Oryctolagus cuniculus: one gene and its partners. The protein of the gene in region 1 purifies or fractionates together with the protein of each later gene. This does not show direct contact. Links are inferred from orthologs where the notes say so. Each region holds a gene or a part of one and is shown in the gene's direction. Other genes may lie near its edges.

Evidence for each region.
Region 2: the proteins of MEPCE (region 1) and Y-box-binding protein 1 purify together in Homo sapiens (affinity purification with mass spectrometry; 3 studies listed by BioGRID and IntAct, with this or other methods). This does not show direct contact. The link is inferred for Oryctolagus cuniculus from reciprocal best matches to the Homo sapiens genes MEPCE and YBX1.
Region 3: the proteins of MEPCE (region 1) and PRPF3 purify together in Homo sapiens (affinity purification with mass spectrometry; 4 studies listed by BioGRID and IntAct, counting the BioPlex papers as one, with this or other methods). This does not show direct contact. The link is inferred for Oryctolagus cuniculus from reciprocal best matches to the Homo sapiens genes MEPCE and PRPF3.
Region 4: the proteins of MEPCE (region 1) and METTL16 purify together in Homo sapiens (affinity purification with mass spectrometry; 3 studies listed by BioGRID). This does not show direct contact. The link is inferred for Oryctolagus cuniculus from reciprocal best matches to the Homo sapiens genes MEPCE and METTL16.
Region 5: the proteins of MEPCE (region 1) and HNRNPUL2 purify together in Homo sapiens (affinity purification with mass spectrometry; 3 studies listed by BioGRID and IntAct, with this or other methods). This does not show direct contact. The link is inferred for Oryctolagus cuniculus from reciprocal best matches to the Homo sapiens genes MEPCE and HNRNPUL2.
Region 6: the proteins of MEPCE (region 1) and SART3 purify together in Homo sapiens (affinity purification with mass spectrometry; 6 studies listed by BioGRID and IntAct, counting the BioPlex papers as one, with this or other methods). This does not show direct contact. The link is inferred for Oryctolagus cuniculus from reciprocal best matches to the Homo sapiens genes MEPCE and SART3.
Region 7: the proteins of MEPCE (region 1) and SNRPN purify together in Homo sapiens (affinity purification with mass spectrometry; 3 studies listed by BioGRID and IntAct, counting the BioPlex papers as one, with this or other methods). This does not show direct contact. The link is inferred for Oryctolagus cuniculus from reciprocal best matches to the Homo sapiens genes MEPCE and SNRPN.

Annotation. Positions count from the first base shown.
Region 1 is NC_091450.1:42,641,154-42,645,239, forward strand, and holds the start of MEPCE (7SK snRNA methylphosphate capping enzyme), read left to right. Parts: upstream 1-1,286; 5' UTR 1,287-1,431; coding exon 1,432-3,075; intron 3,076-4,086. UniProt on the Homo sapiens protein: S-adenosyl-L-methionine-dependent methyltransferase that adds a methylphosphate cap at the 5'-end of 7SK snRNA (7SK RNA), leading to stabilize it.
Region 2 is NC_091434.1:59,357,003-59,360,444, reverse strand, and holds Y-box-binding protein 1, read left to right. Parts: upstream 1-1,391; 5' UTR 1,392-1,406; coding exon 1,407-2,420; 3' UTR 2,421-2,942; downstream 2,943-3,442. UniProt on the Homo sapiens protein: DNA- and RNA-binding protein involved in various processes, such as translational repression, RNA stabilization, mRNA splicing, DNA repair and transcription regulation.
Region 3 is NC_091438.1:47,654,645-47,658,840, reverse strand, and holds the start of PRPF3 (U4/U6 small nuclear ribonucleoprotein Prp3), read left to right. Parts: upstream 1-1,396; 5' UTR 1,397-1,536; intron 1,537-3,072; exon of another isoform or gene 3,073-3,264; intron 3,265-4,196. UniProt on the Homo sapiens protein: Plays a role in pre-mRNA splicing as component of the U4/U6-U5 tri-snRNP complex that is involved in spliceosome assembly, and as component of the precatalytic spliceosome (spliceosome B complex).
Region 4 is NC_091448.1:47,902,149-47,905,446, reverse strand, and holds part of METTL16 (RNA N6-adenosine-methyltransferase METTL16), read left to right. Parts: intron 1-2,147; coding exon 2,148-2,321; intron 2,322-2,450; coding exon 2,451-3,077; 3' UTR 3,078-3,298. UniProt on the Homo sapiens protein: RNA N6-methyltransferase that methylates adenosine residues at the N(6) position of a subset of RNAs and is involved in S-adenosyl-L-methionine homeostasis by regulating expression of MAT2A transcripts.
Region 5 is NC_091432.1:8,851,251-8,855,392, forward strand, and holds the start of HNRNPUL2 (heterogeneous nuclear ribonucleoprotein U-like protein 2), read left to right. Parts: upstream 1-1,342; 5' UTR 1,343-1,566; coding exon 1,567-2,185; intron 2,186-4,142.
Region 6 is NC_091452.1:17,726,441-17,729,940, reverse strand, and holds the end of SART3 (squamous cell carcinoma antigen recognized by T-cells 3), read left to right. Parts: intron 1-86; coding exon 87-239; intron 240-1,332; coding exon 1,333-1,523; intron 1,524-2,130; coding exon 2,131-2,308; 3' UTR 2,309-3,011; downstream 3,012-3,500. UniProt on the Homo sapiens protein: U6 snRNP-binding protein that functions as a recycling factor of the splicing machinery. Promotes the initial reassembly of U4 and U6 snRNPs following their ejection from the spliceosome during its maturation.
Region 7 is NC_091443.1:13,815,089-13,818,588, forward strand, and holds part of SNRPN (small nuclear ribonucleoprotein-associated protein N), read left to right. Parts: intron 1-1,613; 5' UTR 1,614-1,758; coding exon 1,759-1,761; intron 1,762-2,707; coding exon 2,708-2,859; intron 2,860-3,500.

The DNA of each region.
Region 1 (4,086 bases):
CTTTCTTTTCTCCCTGTTGGCAAGGAGACCGAGCTACCCATCACCCTGGGGAAACGGCTCCATTCCTCATTGGCCGAAGCTGGAAGTCCAAAGAGGGGCCGAATCGTCTTCCCCGCCCACACCCGCTTTTATATAAGGCGGCGCGAAGCCTCGGAGTGCGTCCGGGAAGGCCTGCTTGCGAGCTGGCGGCGGCCACGGCGGCTGCGAGGGGCCCCGCGGGCCCGCGGTCTCGCGCGCAGCCGCCGTGTGGCGGGCGGAGGACTTGGTGTCAGGGCCGTGGGTGTGGAGGCGGACAGGAAGGCGTGGTGTGCCCAGGTGATCGCGATTGGGGCAAACGCCGAGGAGCCAAAGAACGACTCAGCCATTTCAGGGGAAGAGGAAGTTGAACAACACCGGCTCTCCTTAGTGCCTTTTTTTGTTTTTTTCCAGTTCAGCAGAGCGTTATTTTCGAGGGGGGTGAGTTCACATGACCTATCGAATTGTACTGAGGACGGTCAGGGCGCCTCCCATTCTCCCCTTCCGCGACTCCTCAATTCACCCCCTCAGCGCGCTCAGCTCTTAACCAGGTGGGCAAAGCGGGGCCCAGGAGCGCGCGCGCGCACTCGTGAATAATTCATGAGGCCCGCCCCCGAGCCCGAGTCGCGCTGACGCACGCTGCGTGCGCCGACCCTGAGGGAGCGACGTACAGGCCCCGCCCCTAGGCCGGGGGTGGGGCGTCGGCCCAGCACGTGCTACCTCGACCCGCGCAAGCCCAAAAGCGTGTGCGCAGGCGCTGCCCGCTAGGGGGAGGAAGGAGGCGGGGTAGGGAGGTTGTTGGGTTTAGAGCCGGGCGGAGACCGCTGAGACTCATTCCTCAGGAACAAGGGTCGGGTGTCAAGGAGACCTTTTCACACCAGCTCCCCGTCCCCCGCCTTCGGTGGGTGGGGTCGCGCGGCAGAGACAAAGGATATCAGTAGGGAAGTAGGGTGTCAGTTTGGGGTGGTGGGCTTCTGGGGGAGGGCCGAGGAGGGGGGGCTATATTTAAACTCGGGGAGCCGTTAAGTTGGGTTCGTACTCCGATGCGCGCGCAGCCAGGGTGGTGGCGGAGTGCGCATGCGTGGCCCCGGGGCTAGGGGAACGCGCGCTCGCCGTGCGCGCTCGCGGCCGAGCGGTAGTGGTGGCGGAGAAAGGGGTCGGCGCACGCGCGGTTGATTCCTCGAGTTGTTCGGGTCTCGCGGGCATCTTGTTTTGGTCTCGCGGGCGAGTGGGGCGCGCTTCAGGGTGGGGGGGAGGAGGCGCTTGGGCGCGAGACCCAGCGAGGCGAGCAGAGCTGCGCGCGCACCCGGGGAAACGGGAGGGGGAAGGGAGCGGGGTCTAGCCAGGCGGGGGCGGGGGGCTAAGCCCCCGATCCCCACCTCGTTACCCTCGAGTGGGACGGAGTAAGGGGAGGAAATGATCGAGATGGCGGCGGAGAAGGAGCCGTTTCTGGTGCCGGCCCCGCCGCCGCCGCTCAAAGAGGAGTCGGGCGGAGGGGGCGGCCCCACGGTGCCACCACCCCGAGAGGCCGCCTCCGGGGAGCCCCGCGGCGAGCCGGAGCGCGGCCCGGGCCGGAGCGCGCGCTCCGCGGACGCCCCTGCCTCGGCAGCCGGCAGCGGGAGCCCCGGCGCCGCCGCCACCCCTCAGGGCGGCCCCCGGGCGCAGCCGCACGGGGAGGCCCGCGTGTCGGATCCCCACGGGCGAGCCGCTCCCCCGGATGTGGGGGAGGAGCGCCGGGGAGGGGGCGGGACGGAGCTGGGCCCCCCTGCCCCTCCTCGGCCGCGTAATGGCTACCAGCCCCACCGGCCCCCTGGGGGCGGCGGGGGCAAGAGGAGAAACAGCTGCCACGTCGGGGGCGGCGGTGGGGGCTTCAAGCACCCGGCGTTCAAGAGGCGCCGGCGGGTAAATTCGGACTGTGACTCCGTGTTGCCCTCCAACTTCCTCCTCGGGGGCAACATCTTCGATCCGCTGAACCTCAATAGCCTTTTGGATGAGGAAGTGAGCCGCGCACTCAATGCGGAGACCCCTAAGTCATCCCCACTGCCCGCCAAGGGCCGAGATCCAGTGGAGATCCTCATCCCCAAAGATATCACTGACCCGCTCAGTCTCAACACTTGCACTGATGAGGCTCAAGTAGTTCTTGCTTCGCCGCTCAAGACTGGTCGGAAACGGCACAGACACCGGGGACAGCACCACCAGCAGCAGCAGCAGCAGGCGGCGGCGGGTGGAGGGAGTGACAGCCACTCCGTGCCGCCCACCGCCCCCCTCACCCCCTCACTCCACGGGGAGGGCGCCGCGCAGCAGCAGCGCCCGAGGGGCCAGAACCGGGATGCCCCCCAGCCCTATGAACTCAACACAGCCATCAACTGCAGGGATGAGGTCGTGTCTCCCCTTCCGTCCGCCCTGCAGGGCCCCTCAGGCTCCCTTCCGGCCCCTCCCGCTGCCTCAGTTACCTCTGCACCCTCGTCTTCCTCCTCCCGGCATCGCAAACGGCGCAGGACTTCCAGCAAGTCTGAGGCCGGGGCTAGGGGTGGAGGCCAGGGTCCTAAGGAGAGGGGCCGCGGGAGCTGGGGAGGCCGCCACCACCCGCCACCTGCGGCAGCGTTTAAAAAGCAGCAGCGCAAGTTCCAGTATGGGAATTATTGCGAGTACTATGGGTACCGCAATCCTTCCTGTGAGGACGGCCGCCTTCGTGTGTTGAAGCCCGAGTGGTTTCGCGGCCGGGACGTCCTAGACCTGGGCTGCAACGTGGGCCATCTGACCCTGAGCATTGCCTGCAAGTGGGGCCCCTCGCGCATGGTGGGCCTGGATATCGACTCCCAGCTCATCCACTCTGCCCGCCAGAACATCCGACACTACCTGTCCGAGGAGCTGCGGCTCCCAACCCAGACTTCGGAGGGAGACCCCGGGGCAGAGGGGAAGGAAGGGACTACCACCGTCCGGAAGAGGGGCTACTTCCCAGCCTCGCTGACAGCCAGCCGGGGTCCCATCGCTGCACCCCAAGTGCCCTTGGATGGAGCGGATTCATCCGTCTTCCCCAACAATGTTGTCTTCGTCACGGTAAGAGGATCTGAGCGACTCTTGGAGTAGAGGCCACGTATGAAGATGAGCTTAAATGTGGCAGGGGCAGGTTTTGACCCTCCCCCCGTGAGATTTCCGCGCATTCAGTCCTTGATAGGAGAAGCAGATTCTCTAGGGTCTGTACTCTCCCTTGGGTGTGTCTCCCGCAAGGAGCAGTTGGGGCCTCTACCTTGGGTCTTTAACCCCGGGGTCCTTTCTCAAGACTGGAAGATCTCTTGCCTGAGAGAGATTGACGGAGTGCTGTGTGCCTGGCCTGGTCTGGGCTAATCCAGACTAGTCCACCTTCCCTTGAGGGCCACTGCTGATCCTTAGGAGACTCTGTTAAGATGGAACCTCAGCCCTGCTGAAGCAGTGTGAGGGGTGGGTGTCGGACGTGGAGTGCCTTGGGGGGAGATGAGGTCAGTAGCAGGCTAATATTTATAGTTTCTGTCTTTCACTTGGGACCTTGTTTGCAACTGCTGCCTTTTTTTTTTCCCCAAGATTTATTTATTTATTTGAAAGGCAGAGAGAAAGATCTTCCATTCGCTGGTCCCTCTGCCCTCCCCCCCCCCCCAGGGGCTGCAACGGCTGGGGCTTTGTCAGGCCAAAGCCAGGAGCTTCATTTGGGTGTAGGTAGCAGGGGCCCAAGCACGGGAGCCATATTCAGCTGCTTTCCCAGGTGCACTAGCAGGGAGGTGGATTGGAAGTGGAGCAGCTGGGACTCCAACCAGCGAATGGAATGCCAGCACCGCAGGAGGTGGCTTAACTGCCACAACAGCTGTTTTTTGTTTCTCCAGGTAGAGTTGGTTAAAGATTGTCAGTGGTCAGGATCCCAAGCAACTTGGCTTTTACCTCTTCTCCATGTTGACCCTAGATAGAGGGAGAGCATAGTCCTACACGGGACTGGACCATGCCTGGCGAGTGTTGCTCCCCATCAAAAACTTTAGGCCATCTGCAGGAATACTTGGCAGTAGGTTGAGTTAAGCCTGAAGAATGGGCTTTGCAGAGGGC
Region 2 (3,442 bases), on another chromosome or scaffold:
TAGGGAACGTGGGGCTAGCGCAAGGCTGTGGTACGGGTGTGAAGGGGAGCGGAGACCGCGGAGCATGCGCGAAGCCGGGAAGTGGCACAGAGCCGGGAAGCCGCTGCGGGGCAAGGTGCCAAGAAGCAGCCTCGGGGCGGGCGCCGGGATGCCGCAGGGATAAGAGAAATAGAAGTATAGAAGTAAAATGAGAGAAATAGGAATGCTGGCAGATAGAAGTAAAATAGGAGAAATAGGAATGCCTGGAGATAGAGAAATAGAAAGGCCTCCCCACAACACGGCAATGAGAGAGCTTGGATTCGGTCTGCCTGATTAGTAAGACGATAAGCACCTGTGAGCGGCTGCATGTCACCGAAGACAGGCACGTTATCAACACCAATAAGTCTCCCCACAAGACGGCGATGATAGGGCTTGGATTCGGTTTGCCTGATTGGTAGGGCTTGTAAGCACCTGCAGGCAGTTCTAGCAGAGCAGAGCATGCGCTGCAGGGCACCGAACACAGGCACGCATCAGCGCCTAAAAACCTCACAACATGGCGAAGAGAGGACCCGGATTCGGTTTGCCTGATTGATAGGACTTGTAAGAACCTGTGGGCAACTCCAGCAAGCAGAGCAGAGTGTGTGCCACGGGGCACCGAAGACAGGCGCGTATCAACGCCAAAAAATAAAAAGAAAGGGGGATCTGTGGGGAGCAACTCAGACTAGACTGTTACTGGAATTAAGACTTATTCTATGCATCTGCTCTCCCACAATATGGCGCTGGGAGAGGAGTAAACAGCTTCTACTCAGCTGCCTCCAGTTCAACCAATAAACAGCAGGACCTGCTCCTGATTGGAGGAGAGCAGCATACTCGGCGTGTGGGTAGCAGAGTTGGGATTGGTGGAAGAGGACTATAAAGGAGGAGAGAGACAACATGCACCAGGAACATCTAAGAGGAACACCTGTGCAGCCCCCGAGAGAGCCGGCTGGCGGTGTGCTGCTCCCCCGCGGAAGTGGGGAAAGTGGCAGGGGGAACCGCCCTTCCACGGAGGTGGGAGGGACGGTAGCCAACCTGGGAAGAACCAGCAGCAAACCCGGGGAGGGCCGAGCAGACAAAAGAACAGCGCAGGGTCTAGTGTCGTTCCTCCACGAAGACGGGGAGCGACATAATGGTGCCGTGACTCGGATATGAAGCCTAGGCAGGGTTTAGTGTCGTTCCTCCATGAAGAGGGGGAGCGACAGTAGGCTGAAACAGTAGTAGATTATTTAGAAATAGAATTAATGTTGTGTAGGATTATTAATAATGCTGATATTTTGATACTTAAAATGGAAGAGCACTAAAGATAAATCATTGTATGAGGCAACCTCAAAGTTCATGGAAAGTGGAATTTAAAGAGAAGTATCTGGGTACAAACATGTTTGAAATGCATGTTTTTAAAAATAATACACATAGTTCGATCGGTAGCGGGAGCGGAGAGCGGACCCCAGAGAGCCCTGAGCAGCCCCACCGCCACCGCCGGCCTAGTTACCATCACACCCCGGGAGGAGCCTCAGCTGCCGCAGCCGGCCCCAGTCACCATCACCGCAACTATGAGCAGCGAGGCCGAGACCCAGCAGCCGCCCGCCGCCCCCGCCCTCAGCGCCGTGGAAACCAAGCCCGGCACCACGGGCAGCGGCGCAGGGAGCGGTGGCCTGGGCAGCCTCACATTGGCGGCGCCCGCCGGCGGGGACAAGAAGGTCATCGCAACGAAGGTTTTGGGAACAGTAAAATGGTTCAATGTAAGAAACGGATATGGTTTCATCAACAGGAATGACACCAAGGAAGATGTATTTGTACACCAGACTGCCATAAAGAAGAATAACCCCAGGAAGTACCTTCGCAGTGTAGGAGATGGAGAGACTGTGGAGTTTGATGTTGTTGAAGGAGAAAAGGGTGCGGAGGCAGCAAATGTTACAGGTCCTGGTGGAGTTCCAGTGCAAGGCAGTAAATATGCAGCAGACCGTAACCATTATAGACGCTACCCATGTCGTAGGGGTCCTCCACGCAATTACCAGCAGAATTACCAGAATAGTGAGAGTGGGGAAAAGAATGAGGGATCGGAGAGCGCTCCCGAAGGCCAGGCCCAACAACGCCGGCCCTACCGCAGGCGAAGGTTCCCACCTTACTACATGCGGAGACCCTATGGGCGTCGACCACAGTATTCCAACCCTCCTGTGCAGGGAGAAGTGATGGAAGGTGCTGACAACCAGGGTGCAGGAGAACAAGGTAGACCAGTGAGACAGAATATGTATCGGGGTTATAGACCACGATTCCGCAGAGGTCCTCCTCGCCAAAGACAGCCTAGAGAGGACGGCAATGAAGAAGACAAGGAAAACCAAGGAGATGAGACCCAGGGTCAGCAGCCACCTCAGCGTTGGTACCGCCGCAACTTCAACTACTGACGCAGACGCCCAGATAACCCTAAACCACAAGATGGCAAAGAGACAAAAGCAGCCGATCCACCAGCTGAGAATTCGTCCGCTCCCGAGGCTGAGCAGGGCGGGGCTGAGTAAATGCCGGCTTAACATCTCTACCATCATCCGGTTTAGTCATCCAACAAGAAGAAATGAATATGAAATTCCAGCAATAAGAAATGAACAAAAGATTGGAGCTGAAGACCTTAAGTGCTTGCTTTTTGCCCATTGACCAGATTACTAGAACTATCTGCATTATCTATGCAGCATGGGGTTTTTATTATTTTTACCTAAAGATGTCTCTTTTTGGTAACGACAAACGTGTTTTTTAAAAAAGCCTGGTTTTTCTCAATACACCTTTAAAGGTTTTTAAATTGTTTCATATCTGGTCAAGTTGAGATTTTTAAGAACTTCATTTTTAATTTGTAATAAAAGTTTACAACTTGATTTTTTCAAAAAAGTCAACAAACTGCAAGCACCTGCTAATAAAGGTCTTAAATAAAAAAAAAATAATACACATTATCCATGAACTTTTTGAAGATCCTTTGTACAGAAGCACAGGGTGGTAGTTGAGGGTATGAGTTTGAACCCTTCCTCCCACTCTTGGTAGTGTGATGTTTGTGTCCTTGTTTCAGATTCCCCATTTGTAAAGTTGGAATGATGATAATACATATTTCATTGTGATGTCATGTGTAAGAATTGTGAATAGTAAGTGTATCATAATTATTAGGGATTAAAGAGTAACTTTTCCTCTAAGTTATGCTTGCTAATATGTCAGTTGGGCTATATTTTTCTGCTGCAGTTATTAAAAGGACTTGTGTAGAGCTTTTGTAGGATTTTGAAGAAGGAATAAAGATCCCTCGCAGAGACCTTGAACCTAGAATCAAGCTCACAGTGACCCGGTTTTTGTAGAGTTCTGAGGTCCACTAGTGAGTCAGGATCAACCTAGATTTATGAAATTGCAGCCATGGAGTGTGACACTACTCCCTAAGAACATTTATCTCTGTGTT
Region 3 (4,196 bases), on another chromosome or scaffold:
GATAACCTCAAGTTTCCTTCCTACTCACATTGTGAGTGACCGCACCCAAGGAATACTCCAGATACGCCCTGTCCCAAACAACGGATGGGTGGCACCCCGGGAAACTCCAAGAGGGAGCACAACTGATTGGTGACACCCGGACCCCTACTGGAGACTCCCCCTTCAGAGTGGCAAGGATAAAGGAGAGCCTTTTCCACCGCTCTCGAGGATCATGGCCCGATGTGTGTGAACCTCTGGATCTCCACACATCTGGAGCTGAAGAGCCAGCTTGCTAGCACCCTTGCTAAGTGACGCAAGGCGATTACGGGACCAAACTCCAGCGGAGCCGCTGCCTGGCCGCCTCACCCGGACCCGTTATTGGCTGCTGCCAGACCAACACCAGACCTCTCAGCAGGGGACCTCTCCAACTCCTTGCCTTGCCCTCTGAACCTACTGCCCAGAGTGACAGCCATCCCCAAACTTCCTGCCTGTAACTGACTGTCCTGAGATCCATCTCTCCGAGTGGTAACGAAGACTTTGAACTCTGGACTTTGGACTTTGACTTTTGGTGACCGTGATACGACCCTTGAGGACGCAGCACTTATAATGATATTAGCCGTGTGTAATATGAAGGCATGTGCCTTGACCCTGTGATTAAGAATAATGTTATGTGCTTATATTATTATAGTTGGATTGCCTTTGAGACTGCTAGGTGTGTGTTATGATCTGTGGAGTACTGAATATAACAATGTAGATTGGTATGCAGAGTGGTCAAGCCCTAGTGTGAAATTGTGTGGGCAATAAAAACCTTTCATTGGAAAGACAATCTTGTGTCCATGTGTTCCTTCCTCCCTGTGCTCCGACACCTCGCCCTTAAGCCCTGTCGAGCTGCGTGACAGCAGGCATTCGCGACAATCACTAAAGCAATACTCTCAAGTGGCCAGCACACATTAGTAGGCAGTTGATAAAGATTTGTTCCGTCAATGAATGAATCTAACAATAAAAAGGTATTAGAAGCTACTTGCTTGAGTCTTCCTACCCTTGTCTTGTTCCTGAATGACCTCCGGTCCCACTGTTAACTTAGAAAAGGCTGGGGGGCGACTAAAGCTGATGATCAGGACTCCGAGAGGGTTTACTTTCTACCAGAAAGGCCACGTTTCAGCACGCACAAACAAGTCCTCCTTTTAGTCCTGTAACTTTAGAGCGTTTATCCGCCACACGAAGAAAACTAAAAATTGTTTTGTTTGCGTTTTTTTTTAAACTGAAAACCACCTAAAGTTACGCCAACTTCGTAATCTTTTTTCCCTGTAGAAACCGAAGGCCAGCAGCAACTTGGACGGGGAAACCTTAGGGCTGTGCCACGCATGCGCTCCGCTGTCGCCAGAGCGGCAACTGCGGCTGCGCAAATCGACGGCCCGCCCCCTCCCTGGTCACGTGTCAGGGGACCGCAGCGTGGCGGCGGCCGTGGCGGTAGCGACGGCAGGCCGTAGGGCGGTCAGAAGGTTTCCGGTTCCGGTGTAACGTTCGGGCTCCGTCTCAGGGGCTGAAGTTTGTGAGGTGAGTAGTGGCCCCGGGCCCGGGGAGGGTGTCTTCCCGTCGGAGCGGCTGGGGCCGGGGCTGAGTCCGAGGGGAGGAACAGGGTGAAGGGTCCAGCGGGAAGGATGCTGAGAGAAGCACACGGTTCGGGAGAGAACGGATTGGAATGAGATTGTTGAGAGGAAAAGGGCGGGGGCGGGACGGGGACAGGCTGGGGAGAGCAGCTCTGGGGTGAGGAGTTTGGACAGAACAAGGTGAGGGAGGAGGCCGGTGAGAGAGAGAGCGAGAGTAAAAACAGGAGGAGGGGGGCTCCTGGGAGCACTCGGGTTGCAGCAAAGGAGAGCGTAGAGTAGGGAATCCTTTAAGAAGATTGGATTCTGCTGCCTGCTCATTGAGCAGTCATTCTGCCTGCCTCCCTTTCTGCACGCCAGCTCTCCCCGCCCCCACTCCCACCAGCCGTTATTATGGAGCATTGGGTCAGTAGCAAAGGCTGCTGTTGGAAACTTTTTTTTTTTTTTTAACATCTCAGAGGGAATTAGGTTGAACTTGAATACACTTTTGTTAGTACAGCGCTTGGGCACACATTTCATCTGAAAATAAAGATTCTTCCGTTTATTGCTTTGGTTTTCAAATTGCTTACTCTTTCTGGCCTGTGATGGAGTTTTCGTGGAATGTAGGCCCTTGTTACAGCCAGGGTGATTGTATTTTGTTCTCTGCTGTTTGTATCAGCACCTTCTACATTGCTTGACACTTAGTATTTGAGTAAACAGGGGCTTATGGGAATTAATTTGCCCAAGGGCTTGTGAATGATGGGATTAGCTTGGGAGTAGGGGTCTGTACCATTTATTGACCATCTGTTAGGCACTGTGAAGAACATTAGAAATAAAATCTTTGTGCTCCTGAGGAATTTGGAGAGTTAGGGATTAGATTAAAATATAGACATGATTAATGGTGACATTTTATACTAACTTGCATTGAATACAAAGATTTGTGTGGGAGAGTCCTTTATAATACTATTTTCTGTGATGAATTAAAAAGTAGGGTACAGGTAAAAAGGGATTGAGAAGAGAACATCTAAAGTGAGGGCATTTTTTTTTCCCAAGCTGAGAGAGTACTTTCATCACGACTTCTCACAGAGATCCTGTAGAATGCAATGGAGAATTTGCACTGTGCTGTCCTGCAGTAGCTTAAGCTGCCGCTTGAGACATGTGTGTGCCATACTGGAGTGCCTGTGTTTGAGTCTCGCCCCTGCTTCCAGTCCACCTTGCTGTTGCGTATCTTGGGAGGCAGTAGATGATGGCTCAAGTACTTGGGTCTTTGAGACCCGTGTGGGCACCTTGGATAGAGCTCCTGGCCCCTGGCTTTGGTGTGGTCCAGTCCTGACTATTGTGGGCATTTGGAGAATGGACTCAAGTGCATGGTAGGGGTCCAAGTACTCAAGCCATCACCTGCAACCTACCAAAATGTGCAGTTATCAGGAAGCTGGAATGAAGAGTGGAGCCAGGACTCAAACCCAGGCATTCCAAGCTGGTCTTGTCTTTTTCTTTCTTTCTTTAGAGATTCATTTATTTATTTGAAAGGCAGACTGACAGAAAGATCTTCTGAATCCACTCGTTCACTCCCTAAATGTCACAAAAGCAGGGGCTGGGGCTGGGCCACCACTGAATCCAGGAGCCAAGAACTTCATCCAGGTCTCTCATGTGGGTGGCAAGAACTCAAGCACTTGAGCCATCATCTGCTGCTTTCCAGGCATGTTGCAAAGGGCTGTTATTGGAAGGGGAGTATTTGGGACTCAAACTGGTGCTCTGATACAGGATGCAGATGTCTCAAGCAGTGACTTAACCTGCTGTAGCACACAATACCTGCCCTGCAAGCAGGGTCTTACCTACTACAGCAAACACCTGCCCTTTAGTCTTGTTTTAAATTCATTTATTTATTTTTATTTGAAAGGCAGAAAAAAAACCATAGAGACAGAGATCGTCCATTTGCTAGTTCATTTCCAAAATGCCCACTGTAGCTGGGGCTGGGCCAGGCCAAAGCCAGGAGCCTAAAACTCAATTGAGGTCTCATGTGGATGACAGGGACCCAAATCCTTGAGCCATCATCCCCTGGGATTGGAAGTAGAGCTGGGACTTGACGAACACATGGGTGTCCCAAGCCACCACACCAAACTCCTGCCCCTACCCTAGTCTTGTTTTAATGTTATATGCCAGTCTTTATTGATTTGCTCAAAAGGAAGCTAGAAGTAATTTTTAGAGTTTGTTTCTTCCACAGGTTTCATTGATTTTTTTTTTCTAAGATTCATTTTTTTTATTTATTTGAAAGGCAGAGAGAGAGAAAAGGAGAAAGAGAGAGAAAGAGATCTTCCATCCACTGGTTCACTTCCCAAATGGCCACAATGGCTGGGGCTGGGCCAGGCTGGGCCAGGCTGAAGCCAGGAGCCAGGAGCTTCTTCTGGGTCTCCCATGTTGGTGAAGGGGCCCAAGCACTTGGGCCATCCTCTGCTACTTTCCCAGACCCATTAGCAGGGAGTGGGATTGGAAGTGCAGCAGCCAGGTCTCGAACCAGCGACTATATGGGATGCCAGTGTCACAGGTGGAGGCTTAACCACAACACCAGCCCTCATTGATCCTTTGATAACTACTGAGTTAGGGTTAAAAATCAAATGGAATGTATTTGTT
Region 4 (3,298 bases), on another chromosome or scaffold:
TGCTGGTCACTGCCCAGATAGCTGCAACAGCCAGTTCTGAGCAAGGCTGAAACCAGGAGGCAGGAGCTTCTTCCGGGTCTCCTATGTGGGTGCAGGGGCCCAAGCACTTGGACCATCTTCCGCTGCCTTCCCAGGCACATGAGCAGGGAGCTGGACTAGAAGCAGAGCAGCTGGGACTTGAACTGGTACCCATAAGGGATGCCAGTGCCATAGGTGGCAGCTTTACCCACTATGCCACATGCTGGCCCCAAATAAACCTTTTTTTTTTTTTTTTAAAGATTTATTTATTTATTTGAAAGTCAGAGTTACACAGAGAGAAGGAGAGGCAGAGAGAGAGAGAGGTCTTCCATCCACTGGCTCACTCTCCAATTGGCTGCAATAGCCGGAGCTGTGCTGATCTGAAGCCAGGAGCCCGAGCTTCCTCCAGGTCTCCCAAGTGGGTGCAGGGGCCCAAGGACTTGGGCCATTCTCCACTGCCTTCCCAGGCAATAGCAGAGAGCTGGATCAGAAGTGGAGCAACCGAGTCCTGAACCGGCGCCCATATGGGATGTCGAAGCTGCAGGCCAGGGCATTAACCCGCTGCGCCACAGTGCTGGCCCCCAAATAAACCTTTTTTAAAAAAAAGTTTTGTGAGGGGGTGGCGCAGTGGGTTAAAGCCCCAGCCTGCAGCGCCAGCATCACATATAGGTGCCATTTTGAGTCCCAGCTGTCCACTTCCAACCCATTCCTTGCAAATGTACCTGTAGAAGCAGCAGAGGATGGCCCAAGCCCTTGGGCCCCTGCACCCATGTGGGAGACCCAGAAGAAACTACTGGCTCCTGGCTTCAGATAAGCCCTGCTCTGGTCATTGTGGCCATTTAGGTAATGAACCAGTGGATGGGAGACTTCTCTCTCTCTCACTGTAACTCTGTCTTTCAAATAAAATAAATCTTTTAAAAAAAAAGTTTTGTGAGCAAGTACAAATCCATCTTAGCACAGTGTTTGTAATACACGTGGTCTTACCCAAGAGCTGTTTCCTTTAAAAAGTACCATTTAGGAATTTTTACTTACATAAATTTTAAATACAGTTGGTGTGATTTGGTTTCTAAAATGGAACTTGAGTCCCTCTAGTGGGTGTTGTTCACCTTCGAAGTTTGAAATAGAAAGGAAAATGTGAATCTTGATTTTCATGGAAGCAGCTTTCAGATCCGTTCTTCTCGCCAGTGCTGGCCTTTCCTCTCCAGCTGGAGGCGTAGTTTGCGTGGCCCTGGGCCTCCCTGCTGTGATTCACTGGCGGCTTTATGTCACACGCACAGGCCTTTGTGTCACACGGACAGGCCTTTGTGGCTTTGAGGCTCCATGATCGGTAGCAGAAGCCATGGACCCTTTCCTGGACAAGTCCACTGTCATGCACAGGATTTTTTTTTTTTAATTAATTAATTATTTATTTTTTATTTAGTAAATATAAATTTCCAAAGTACAGTTTATGGATTACAATGGCTTCCCCCCCAATAATTTCCCTCCCACTCGTAATCCTCCCATCTCCTGCTCCCTCTCCCATTCCATTCACATCAAGATTCATTTTCAATTATCTTTATATACAGAAGATCCATTTAGTATATATTAAGTAAAGATTTCATCAGTTTGCACCCACACAGAAACACAAAGTGTAAAATACTGTTTCAGTACTAGTTATAGCATTACTTCACATTGGACAACACAATAAGGACAGATCCCACATGAGAAGTAAGTACACAGTGACTCCTGTTGTTGACTTAACAATTTGACACTCTTGTTTATGGCGTCAGTAATCTCCCTAGGCTCTAGTCATGAGTTTCCAAGGCTATGGAAGCCTTTTGAGTTCGCTGACTTCGATCTTATTCCAACAGGGTCATAGTCAAAGTGGAAGTTCTCTCCTCCCTTCAGAGAAAAGTACCTCCTTCTTTGATAGCCCTGTTTTCTTTCTACTGGGATCTCACTCGCAGAGAACTTCATTTAGGTCTTCTTTTTTTTTTGCCAGAGTGTCTTGGCTTTCCATGCCTAAAATACTCTCATGGGCTCTTCAGCCAGATCTGAATGCCTTAAGGGCTGATTCTGAGGCCAGAGATGCACAGGATTTAATTATCTGGGACTATTTCTTCTCCTCATTGCCTTCCCTTGTCTTTCAGTCCCCACCGAGTAAGCGGAGGAAGCTAGAGAAGCCGCGGAAACCCATTACATTTGTGGTGCTGGAGTCTGTGATGAAGGAACTGTCCCTGAAAGCCTCGTCCCTCGGGGCGGAGACGGTGGAAGGCATAGTGGTGGTGACGACCTGGATTGAAAAAATCCTCACCGACCTCAAGGTACCTGGTGAAGCCACCAGCGAAGGCCTCGTGTTGGTCTCCCTTTTTCCTTTTCTGTCTGCTTTGTTCTCAGGGAGTCTGGGGAGAAGAGAAAAGTGAATTCCTGTGAAATGTGTTTTTCCTCAATAGGTGCAGCATAAGCGAGTTCCCTGTGGGAAGGAGGAGGTTAGCCTGTTCCTAACAGCCATAGAAAATTCCTGGATCCATTTAAGGAGGAAGAAAAGAGAGCGCGTGAGACAACTGAGAGAAGTTCCTCGAGCTCCTGAAGATGTCATCCAGGCCTTGGAAGAGAAGAAGTCCACCCCCAGGGAGTCTGGGGGCGGCAGCCAGGACGGGGTGCAGGGCCCTGGGGAGAGTGCCCCAGGTGGGCCTGCTCTGCACGAACGCCAGCCTGCTGCTGCTGGGGGCCATTGCGCAAGCCAGGAGTCACTTTCCCAGGAAGGAAACCCAGAACCCATGGAGGAAGAGCGGAGTGAGGAGAAAGGAGGGCCGGAGGCTGTGGAGAGCTGCAGGGGCTCTGGCCACGGGGCCCAGGACCCAGAGGCTCCTGAGCAGCTGAGCAGCCCTGGGGCTGAGACAGGCAGGCCTCCGCCAGGAGCGGCTGCACAGTACCTGTTTAAGTGTCTCATCAACGTTAAGAAGGAAGTGGGCGATGCCTTAGTTGAAATGCATTGGGTTGAGGGCCAGAACAGGGATTTGATGAACCAGCTGTGCACCTACCTGCGGAACCAGATTCTCAGGCTTGTTGCCAGTTAACTGCAGACTGCGGGTCCAAGTAGAGAGGTGTCTGTGAAGCCTGCTCTGAGAGCTCTGTGGGCTGGCGAGAGGAAACCCAGCTCCGGCTCCCTTAGTAGCCTCATGCGGCATCACCTAAAGAGAAGAAGCCAATTAATCCATTCCCTGGCCCCCACCCCTTTTTTTCTTAAGTTCCAGAGAGCTGTATTGTGGAAGTTCAGGAGGGAGAACTTGCTTATCAG
Region 5 (4,142 bases), on another chromosome or scaffold:
GCCTGACTGGCCCGGGTGGGCTTCCCCGGGGAGGGGGGCTTGGCGTGTTTCTGTACAGCCTCCACCTGTGCTCCCTGCAGCAGTTTTCAGTCTCCAACCGTTCAAGCAGGTGGTCAGGGGGAGGACGTGGGGACGGCCACGGCCGAAGCCTAGGCGGTTACTGCGGGGTGAGGAGACCCCGGGGTCGGGGGGAAGGCCCTACTAAGGGACCGTGGCAGGCGTGCGAGCGCCCAGCCTCCGCCGCCGCCCCTCTGTCGGACGCACTCCCTCCCCCGCGACCTGGAAGTACAAGGGAGTAGGCGGGGACAACTGCTACAAGAAATCCGCGGGGCTGGCCCGCACGCACGCACGCCCGCTTTATTTGTCCTCATTTAACAAGCTTTGGTTGGTAATTGTGCTGCGAGCCGCGAGGTCCGAGAGCCCCAGCACTCAGCCCGCACGGAGGGGGTCCGTAGCAGCGCACTCCACGCAAGCCCACCGACCTAGGCCGCCGACACCCCGGCCTTTGCAGACGCCCGAGGCCGGAAGTCCCTCCCCCAGCTTCCGCTTTCCAGCTGGGAGCACGGAAAGGAAAGGGTCAGAGCTCCCGGCCGTTTGGTGTCTAAAGGGTCGCGCGCAATCCGCCAAAGCGTCCAATCAGAAGCGGCTCCGGAAAAGTAATCCCGCAGAAACGACTCCGCCTCCCCAGCAGTTCGACGCGGAAAAAAAAAAATCCCCCCAACAGCGTTCGCCAATTGGAAAATTCCGCACGGTCACAGGTGACCAATCATAACGGCAGGAGCCGATTCAAGCAGGCCAATGAGAGGGAGCGGAAGGCGAAGCTAGGCCTCCTGTTGCTGGGTAGAAATCGAGGCGTTGAGCTACTAGGAGGGCCGAGGGCTACGGTTATTTCTCGGTCCTGGAGGGTCCTCTCGCGGACTCGCTAGAGAAACAATTGCGAGTAGGTTTTCCTGTTGCAACAGTTTCTCTCCTGGCTTAGCTGCTGCAGGCCCCGCAGGGGAACGGGGTGGTGAGCAAGCCCTAAAGGGCCGCAGCAATAGTGAGACGCGAAGCTGGGTGGTGAGAGGGCGGGCGGGCGGGCGGCTGCGCAGGACCCCCGCTGGAAGTACGGAAAGGCAGGCGCGCACACGCTTCCGTGCTACGAGGGCACTTGAGCCGCCGCCAGCCCTGCCCGTCTCCGGCTCCGCTGCGGCTGCGCGGTAAAACCTCCGGCGGCGATTGGCCCAGCGGTAAGAGGGGGCGGGCGGAAGGGGCGGGACTCCGTCGTCCTCGGCGCGCGCGCCCGCCGGCGGTAGGGGACTAGGGGCTGGGAGGCAGGCCGCTCCCCGTTGCGTTGTTTTGGGCTCGTGGGAGGCGAGGCGGGGGAGGGGAGGAGGAAGGCGACACCAACTACGCAGCGGGGACCGCGCGCGGCCTGCGCTGTCTGCGTGCGTGCGTGCGCTCGCGCGGGCTCAGGGCTGGCGCGTGAGGCGGAGGCGGGCGGCGGCGGCGGCGCCTGCGCGGTCGGGCTCGGTCGACGGTTCGCAGGGGAGGAGGCGGCGGGAGGCGGAGGAGGCGGCGGCGGCGATGGAGGTGAAGCGGCTGAAAGTGACCGAGCTGCGGTCGGAGCTGCAGCGGCGGGGCCTGGACTCGCGCGGCCTCAAGGTGGATCTGGCGCAGCGGCTGCAGGAGGCGCTGGACGCCGAGATGCTCGAGGACGAGGCCGGCGGCGGCGGGGCCGGGCCCGGCGGGGCCTGCAAGGCGGAGCCTCGGCCTGTGGCCGCGTCGGGCGGCGGCCCGGGCGGGGACGAGGAGGAGGACGAGGAGGAGGAGGAGGAGGAGGACGAGGACGAGGAGGCGCTGCTTGAGGACGAGGACGAGGAGCCACCCCCTGCTCAGGCCGCGGGCCAGGCCGCGCAGCCGCCGCCAGAGCCTCCGGAGGCGGCAGCCATGGAGGCCGAGGCCGGGGCCGGGGCTGAGCCCGAGCCCGCGGCCCAGCCCGAGCCCGAGGCCCAGCCCGAAGCCGAGGCCGAGGCCGAGCCCGATGCTCCCGAAAAGCCCGCGGAGGCCACGGCCGGGTCAGGTGGGGTAAACGGTGGCGAAGAGCCGGGCGCCGGCAAAGGGGAGGAAGACGAGCCCGAGGAGCGGAGCGGAGACGAGACGCCGGGATCCGAGGCGCCGGGTGACAAGGCCGCAGAAGAACAGGGTGAGGAGCTGGCGGCGGAGCCGGGCTCCAGGCTGCCGGGGGCGCCCCGATCCGGCACCCGTGCTGCGCCGCGGGGTTTGATCCCTTGTTTCCACTTGCCTGGTCGCGCAAGCTGCCGTTCGGTATTTGATGGGACTCCCCGGGGCAGGTGGCTTTCATCCTCTGCTGCCTTTCTGGGAAGCGCGGCCGCCTCTGGTGGCCGTGTTCTTGGCGGGAGGGAGGTTGTCCGCCCGGCTTGGTTCCTGGGAGGTGGTGGATGGAAGTGAGTGGTTTCGCATGCTGACTGCGCGCGTGCTACCTGTGGAGCACCCTCCCGCCTGCTAGTCATCGCCTCCCCTTTGTTTTGTGTTTCGTTTGAAGCTGAGAGGGTGCTGAGGAGTTGGGAATTGCACAGCCACACCGAAAGTTAGAGCTTTAGGTCATTGGGCTACCTGACGGCTTTTTCGGCATAAAAACATGAAGCAATAAACTGAACCCGTCAGAGTCCGCTCTGTCAAAACCCATTACTAAAGCTTGTAGGTTTCCGGAGAACTGGAAATCTAGCCTTGGTCCTGCTCCAGAAGTAAGAGGGCAGCCTCTGGTGCGAGTGTTGGGTTTAATAGTTAACTAGTGAAGAAAGTTTTAATCTGGCGCATTTAAAACAAGTTAACTTGGTTTGGGCTTGTACTGCTCCTGTATTCTCAGGATTACATTTTAATCTTTCCACTAAGTCCGTGGATGGGCATATTTGTAGATTTGCTGTATACTCGTACGAGCCTACATGTTGGGCTCCTGACTTCCTGAATTGAAAGGATTGAGATCCTGGTGGATGCATTGGGTAACCTTGTGGAAGAAAATGTGTGGAACTGCCCCAGGGAGCTGGTGACCTTTCTCTTTTCTCTGGAAGTGATTGGATGGTTGGAGTTGATCATAACAATACCTGTCAGAGTAGGGAGGAAATCTCCAGCTACTTCCCAGTCTTACTATAAATTGGATTGCTTTCATTCTTTTTATAGTACAAGTTTTGGGACACTATTAGTTAAAGTGACATAATTGGAAGTGTTTTACAATAGTCATAGGCAACTTGCGTATTTTTTTGTCCTATGTCTTAGAACAAAAATCCCATTATATAACCTTTGCTTTAATGTATAATTCAAATAAAAGATATAAAAAACGTTGGGGATAAAGGACTGCTTTAAAGAAGTTATTATTTACAACCTTCTTAGTGTTGCAAAAATATAAAAACCTAAAGAAAAACTCCAAGATTTTTTCTTGTGAACAGTTACTAAATATATGACAACACCTTTCTGCCCCAAATTATGTGCAGTAAAGATGCAGTGTTATTTATGGGTCTCTTGTGACTTAACTGGTTTGTTGCGGTTTTGTAAATCAGTTGTGTATCATGCACTTGAGTCCCTTGGCTGTATAAGTAAAGCATGGATGGCTGTACTCTTTTACATTTCTTTGGCACATAATGTTTGTGTATATTTATGGGGTATGGTAAGATAACTTGATATACATATCCAGTGTTGATGCATATATACAGGCTGTGCATTTTAGTGCAGGATAAACTTAGGAAAAAATTGTGGCTTCTTTACCTTGAAGCTGTAATGGCCTGCCTTAAATCTTTGTACAATTTCAATCTGACAAAGATTGAAATTAAGTTAACCTATGAAGGTTTTTTTTTTTTTTAATGCCACAACATTCCTGCAAGCTTGACCTGATTTAATCAGGTAAATTTAGAATGCAAAAACTGTCCAATTTTTATCTGCTGCTGACTGTAATTAGCCCGTTCTATCCTCTTACCCCCTCCCATCCCACCCCAATAAAATCCTAGCCAGTGACAGGAAGGTGATCTTGGGAAGTAAAATGTGCTGTGGATGCAGTGGGGCTAATGTGGCTATTTTGATTAGAAAGAAACTCAGGTTTCCCTTTAGTTTCTGTTGGTTCTGAGCTTGTTCTACACTCCAGTATAAAA
Region 6 (3,500 bases), on another chromosome or scaffold:
AGCTCCCTGCCCAGGGCTGGCCCTGTGGGGCTGGCGTGCCAGGCGCGGCCGGAACAGCACGTCTTTTTCTCTCCCTCCTCCGGCAGGTGTTCAGGTACAGCACCGCTCTGGAGAAACACAAGCTGTTCATCTCGGGCCTGCCTTTCTCCTGCACGAAAGAGGAGCTGGAGGACATCTGCAAGGCTCACGGCACCGTGAAGGACCTCCGGCTGGTCACCAACCGGGCCGGCAAGCCCAAGGTCAGCGGGGGGCGCACGTTCTGGCGTGGGTTCCCCGTGATGATTCAGTGGCAAGGAATGCACACTGAGTCTCCTTCCCTGTGGAGGCAGATACTTTTTTCAAGATTAATTTGTGTATTTGGAAAGCAGAGTGACAGAGTAGGGTTGGGAGAGGAGGAGAGAATGAGAAAGATTTCCATCTACTGGTTCATTCCCCAAATGGCTGGTCAGGCCGAAGTCAGGAAGTCCATCTGGGTCTCTCATGTGGGTGGCAGGGACCCAGGTGTTTGGGCCATTGCTGCCTCCCGGGCAAGGTAGCAGGAAGCAGAGTAGCCCGAGTTGAAATTGGCACTCAGGTGTAGGGTGCCGGTGTGTTCTGAGCAGTGGTTTAACTTGCTGTTCCATGACGCCCGCCCCATGCGGAGTCAGGTGAAACTGTTTGCAGCTGTGTGTATTACAGAGGAATAGGCATTTAGAAATTAAATTCATCACAGATTCCTAAGCGCCGCAGTGTGGCCCCCTGGCTAGAGGCCTCGGGGAGGGGGTCCCTCTGCTGTGGTTACCGCTGCTCTTCCTGAGGCCCTCACTGGGCCACCTCGGGGCCTCGAGTGGACCCCTTAGCACATCCTCCCCTGCGGCCCACTCCTTTCTGCTCCACCTTTCAGCAGTTACTGTTGAGACGTGATTCTGGACCCCCTCTCACTCCCTTGCCCGCGGCCCAGCCATGCAGGTAAATGAAGAGTTAGTTGAGGAGTGTGACGGGAAGGCGGGCATGGAGGAGCAGAGACCTCGGCGCTCCCCTGGGCACCAGGGCTGCTCCCCGGTGTCTGTCCCCAGCCCACCTCCTCAGTCTGTTGGCTGGACTTATGCTGGTCTGATTGTTACTTTCATTTTTCTCTTGGGGAGCAAGCTCAAGGTGATCTGAACTTGGCTCCTCTGCGCTGCAGTCACTCCCGGCAGCGGAGGACAGGAGTAGGGAGGGAAGTCAAGCTGTGGACAGGGTGGCAGCCGTGGGGAGGGGAGCCAGTTGATGAGGTGCCTGCGTTGCAGAGTGAGGAGGAAGCTGCTCCTGGGTGTGCGGCAGCTCACCTGGCTCTGATCATGTCTCTTCCAGGGCCTGGCCTACGTGGAGTACGAAAACGAATCCCAGGCGTCGCAGGCTGTGATGAAGATGGACGGCATGACCATCAGAGAGAACGTCATCAAAGTGGCGATCAGCAACCCCCCTCAGAGGAAGGCTCCAGAGAAGCCGGAGGCCAGGAAAGCGCCGGGTGGCCCCCTGGTGCCGCGGCAGATATACGGAGCGTGAGTGTTTGTGCTGGCCAGCGCCCGGCCATGAAGGGCTAGATGAGGCAACAGTTAGGTCCCTGTTGGTAAGAGGAGTTAGGACAAGAGCACATGGGCCTGCTATCCCGGCGATGACCCCGTGGTTCTGCCGGGCAAGGTGTCCAGGGCGAGTCCAGGCCAGAAGGAGGCCCAGGCAGCGGGGCCCTGCCTCGTGTTTGCCAGGTGACACTGGTCCAAGGTCAGATGTTTCACCGGCACTGATGACGTCACCCGCCCCCTGATGCCCGAGCTTGCCAGCCTGCGGCTGCGCTCCCTAGAGAGGCCGTGTCTTCTGCCCGACAGGAGCCAGGCTGCAGGGTGGTTGGAGAGGTCTCGGAGGTGACAGCCACTTCTCACCCCAGAGTGTGACTTGCTCAGAGTCAGTCCTGGCCAGTTAATGAAGAAGGCAGAGCTTCCTGCAGTGGCTTTTAAGTAACAGCCAGGTACAGGGACAGGCCGCCTCTGGTGGGTTTTCATTTTTCATCATGAACTTTGCGTGATGTGCAGGATCCTGGCTCTTCTTCACGGTACCGTGGGGGTTGCGGGTCAGTGCTTTGAAGTGTACAGTCAGTGTTTGCTTTTGCAGGCGGGGGAAGGGCAGGACCCAGCTCTCTCTGCTGCCTCGTGCCCTGCAGCGCCCTGGTGCCGGGACTCCTCAGGCTGAGAACGGCCCTGCCCCACGTCCTGCCAACGCCGCCCCTGAGGCCACAGAGGCGCCCAAGATGTCCAATGCCGATTTCGCCAAGCTGCTTCTGAGAAAGTGAGCGGACTCTGCGGGAGACGGGAAAGGCCTTCTCGCCGGCCAGTACTCCGGGGACAGAAGGGACTGGCCCAGTGCCCACCCACGGCCACGGGCTTTCCTCTGGGTCAGACAGAAGGGGAGTGTTCCCCGTGAAGCGGCGTCAGTGCTCCCTCACATTGAGGGCGACGGCAGGAACGTGAGCTCAGGGCGTGGCATCCTGAGGCACATGGGTGTCTTCCCGAGTGAGGAGCAGCTGGGTCTGGGGCAGCGTGGAGACCCGCTCGTCCCGACGCTCCCAGCCGGCCCCAGCCCTTTTTCTAAGTCACTTCTCTCACACCTGCACGGTATACGTGCCCATCACTCTTTTAATTTTTAAAAGATGGACTGGCAAATGCTAGTAACTCACCAGAACGGCCTATTTTAGGAAGGGGTGGGAGCAGGGGAGGCCACGTAGGAGAAGTCCAGTGGGTTTTTGTTCGGGGGCTGTGTGTTTTTCTATTGTGTTTGTAAATGACACCTCAGCCTGTGGTTTCGTTTCCTAAAAGCAGTATCCAGATGTTTGTTTTATACCTGTACCGGAGGCCGTGTGCCACCTGCCGCGGGCCACTTCCTCTGCCTGCCGACTGGCTTTTCTTGTCTAAACCCTGAGTTTCAGCTCTTTGGTTTTGTTGAAACACCATGTCCTCCCCGTTTAGCTTTGTTTATTAAACAGAAGTTCTCTTAAACTCTTCTTGCTGAGTGGTGCTCAGAACCCTTCCTCAGGGCGGCCTGTAGCTATAAATAGAACTTTTCTAAGTCAAATCTCGTGGTCATTTTGATTTAAATTATTTCTGCTGTGATGGATCTTCAGTTGTAAACTTCAGTTTGATGCTTGAGTTTTTAAACTCTCTCACTTTTATCAGGGACTTACGGCTTTGGAAGCAGCCTTGCCAGTTCAGTAAGGAAGCTGACGTTCTAGAGGCACCGAGCTTCTTCTTCGACAGTATTTTTATTATTTGACAGGCAGAGCGCGAGTGCCCTCCCCTCTTCTGATTCAATCCCTACAGGCCCATAGTGGCTGGGGCTGGGTTGGGGCTGGGAATGCAGTCAGTCTCTCAGGTGGGTCTGGGCGGCCAGCTGTCTGTCTGTCGAGCCATCGCCTGCCAACTCCCAGGGTCTGCACTGGCAGGAGTAGGGAGCCGGGAGCCAGGTTCTCTGCTGTAGGACTGACTTGG
Region 7 (3,500 bases), on another chromosome or scaffold:
GTACAAACATTGGATCTTGGGCACTGGAGTATTCTTGATGCCATTTCTGTAGATATAAGTAGGTACATAGATAGTATAATCTGTTATCAGTCGTCTTACAGAGCAGTATAGACAGTATATTGAGGGAATAAGCAGATTGTTTACCATAAACTTTAAAAAGAATGCATGAAAGCTTGTATGTGGAAAATGTAGGTTGTTGGGTATACTGAAAAATTGTTAGGGATTTCTTGGATCTTAAGATCTAAGAACTCTCAAGATCTCATGGAATGTCTTACTGCAATTAAGCTTCTAGAACTATAGGAAACATCCCTTAAACATCTTAGAACTTTATGGAAAGAGTTATCACGTATTTTTATGTTCTTTTATATGTTGGCATAAAATTCCATATGTGCTCAAAACTTATTTTACTTTATTGTTTTGGTGTTCATGTAGTTTATAGTCATGATTTTAATGATTATTTTCAAACCATGAAGTACTCAGAATATACCTAACATTTAATGTGCTGTTTCAAAATTTTATCTATTGGAAACAGTGAAGAACAATCCTAGTGGAATTTAGCTTTTAATATGATTCTATTTTTATATTTAACTCCAAATTCCTACTCAAAAATAATATAATTTGTGTCTCTTTGTACCATCAGCAGTTTCAGCCACTGAATAAGATGCTGGCTAAATTTGATTGCCATATTGATAGCATTTTTTTTTTTTACAAAAAGTAATGGTGAAAATGTTAATTTGTTATGCATGACGCTTTGATAAACAAGAAAGCTGTCAATGAGCTTCTGTTAAGTAGTTATGTATCAGCCTTTGACATAGAAAGTCTTAAGCACGTTCATAATACATTTGGTTCTAGGTGAGGGAAGACTACATTTGAAGGTGCTCTTTGGGAAGGAAAGAATATTACAGCTGAATATTTAGGTTGTTCAAACAAAAAGTATCAACAACAAAATCTTTTTTTTTAATTTATTTATTTGACAGGTAGATTTATAGACAGAAACAGAGAGCAAGGTCTTCCTTCCGTTAGTTGACTCCCCAAATGGCCACCATAACCGGCGCTGTATGGGTCTGAAGCCAGCAGACAGGTGCCTCCTCCTGGTCTCCCATGGGGGTGCAGAGGCCCAAACACTTGGGCCATCCTCCACTGCCTTCCTGGGCCACAGCAGAGAGCTGGACTGGAAGAGGAGCAACCGGGACTAGAACCCGGCGCCCATATGGGATGCTGGCGCGGCGCCTCAGGCAGAGGATTAACCAAGTGAGCCAGGGTGCTGGCCCCACAACAAAATCTTGAACTAACTCAGGAATAATTTGTGTTATAAATACGTGAGATACTTAATTAATTTTAGGTGTGGGAGTAAAGCAATAACCTTAAAGGTAGAAAGGAAGAATAGTAAAATTTTGAGATGTTTAAATGAAAGTTACTGGTAAAATATAATTTAGTGAGTTTCATCAGTGCTAGCTATGTCGAATGTGGGAATTAAAGATGAAGGAGTAGTGAATGAGTCATGGGATAAAGGATTTTTTGAATGTGTTTTGCAGTGATATCTGTGCAAAATTGTCTGCCTATTTTAAAACATGGTAGATTGTAGTGCAGCTGTAACATGCTTTCCTCTGCAGGCTCCATCTACTGTTTGTGAAGCTTCTGCCCAGCTTGCATTGTTTCTAGGAGAACCTGCCATCATACCTTTATCTATAGCCTTCCCTTAGGTCTTAAGGGTCCTGAAATTTTACTTTGGACATTGAATTTGGTGGAACAGCAATCATGGTAAGATGTTTATGTATTAAGATGGGGGGGTGGTAAGTTGTTATAAGGGCATCAAATAGTAGTTTGCAGTTGTGTGTGGGTGCCTTTGGGTTCTGAAAATTTGAATAAATATGTAGACATGTATTCTAAATGCATTGAAAAAAAACAGGGATTAGCAATGTTTCTTTTCTTGTTAATTACTGCAAATTGGTTTCAAAACCATCTTGAGGTGTTTTAGAACATGAGAAAATTCAGAAGCAGTTTTTTGGTCATTGTTATTAGGGGACTATCTTGACTCTTAGGTCAGATTATAGTAGACATAAAGACTACTTTATGTGGAAAGCTTTTTCAAAACTTGAAGGGCTTGATTAGTACACAGGAGAACAATTGGCAAAGGGAGGGAGCAAGTGAGCATAAACCAGCCAGCATCCTAACCACAGAGTTCTGTGGTTCTCAGTCTAGAGCATGTATTATCAAATGATTGATACCATTCCCAAAGGGGTTAAAATTGCTAGGATTTGTTAACAGTCATAAGCTTCTTAATGCTTGGTCATCCAGTGTCACATTGCAAAAATAGAGATACAACATGTCTGCATGTTATGGTACCTTAGGAACTTGACAAGTTTTAATTGAAGTAGGAATTTGTCCAGGGTAAAAGAAATTGTCAACAAGATAATGTGCTGTGTTCCAAGATAGGATTTAAGATTAGACAGGTAAAGGTGTAAGATTAAAATTTCAGCTCTATAAAGAAACGAGGCTCGTGGATCTCTGGGGAAAGTTTTAGTTATGATGGGAACCTTTTTTAGAGGAGTTTAGTGGTTCCAAGTTCAGATTTGGCCCAATAAATTAAATGTGGAGGAATATAGGAGAAAAAGATAAGATAAATTTATGGTAGACTAGAAAAGGGATGTAGGTTAGAAAATGGACAAGGGCAAGCTGATCACTGACTTTATCTTCTTAATTCTAGACTGTGGGCAAGAGTAGCAAGATGCTACAGCACATTGACTATAGAATGAGATGTATCCTGCAAGATGGCCGAATCTTCATTGGCACCTTTAAGGCTTTTGACAAGCATATGAATTTGATCCTCTGTGATTGTGATGAGTTCAGGAAGATAAAGTAAGGGTGGTTTGGGTTTATATAATGGGAGATGGAGTCCGAGGCAGGGGCAAACCAAGTTGAGAGCTGATGCAGGGTTTTTAAAGGATAACTGAATAGCGAAGCAATTACAGTACATGTCTGCTTAAGCTCTTGGCCTTATCTCTGAATTAGGTCAGAGCCTTGCATCCAAGTAACTGTTTTAAATGTGAAAACAATCATTGATTTATTTGTAATAAAATTGTTCGGTAAGGTCAAAACAGAGTGATATGTTATTGTTTAGCTTCTGTAACAGTCTTTTGGATTGAAGGAATATTGATTGAAATAAAGGATAGTAGGGGTGGGAGTTCATCCTAGTGGTTAAGACAAGTACCCTGAGGTAATACCTTTCCCCAGTTCCTGACTCCAGCTTCCTACTAATGTAGACCTTGGGAGTGCTAATGGATAAAATGAATGGGTCCCTGCAACCCATGTTTGAGATCTGGATTAAGGCCCCAGCTCCCAGCTATGGTCCTAGGTGGATCATTGCTGGCATTTGAGGAGTACACCAGAAGATAGAAGCTCTCTGCTCTCTCCCTCTCCTCTGCTCCTCTTAATATAGTAACTGATGTTTTAATTTTGCCCGTCTTACCTAGTTTAGCCATGGCATTTCCATCTGTATT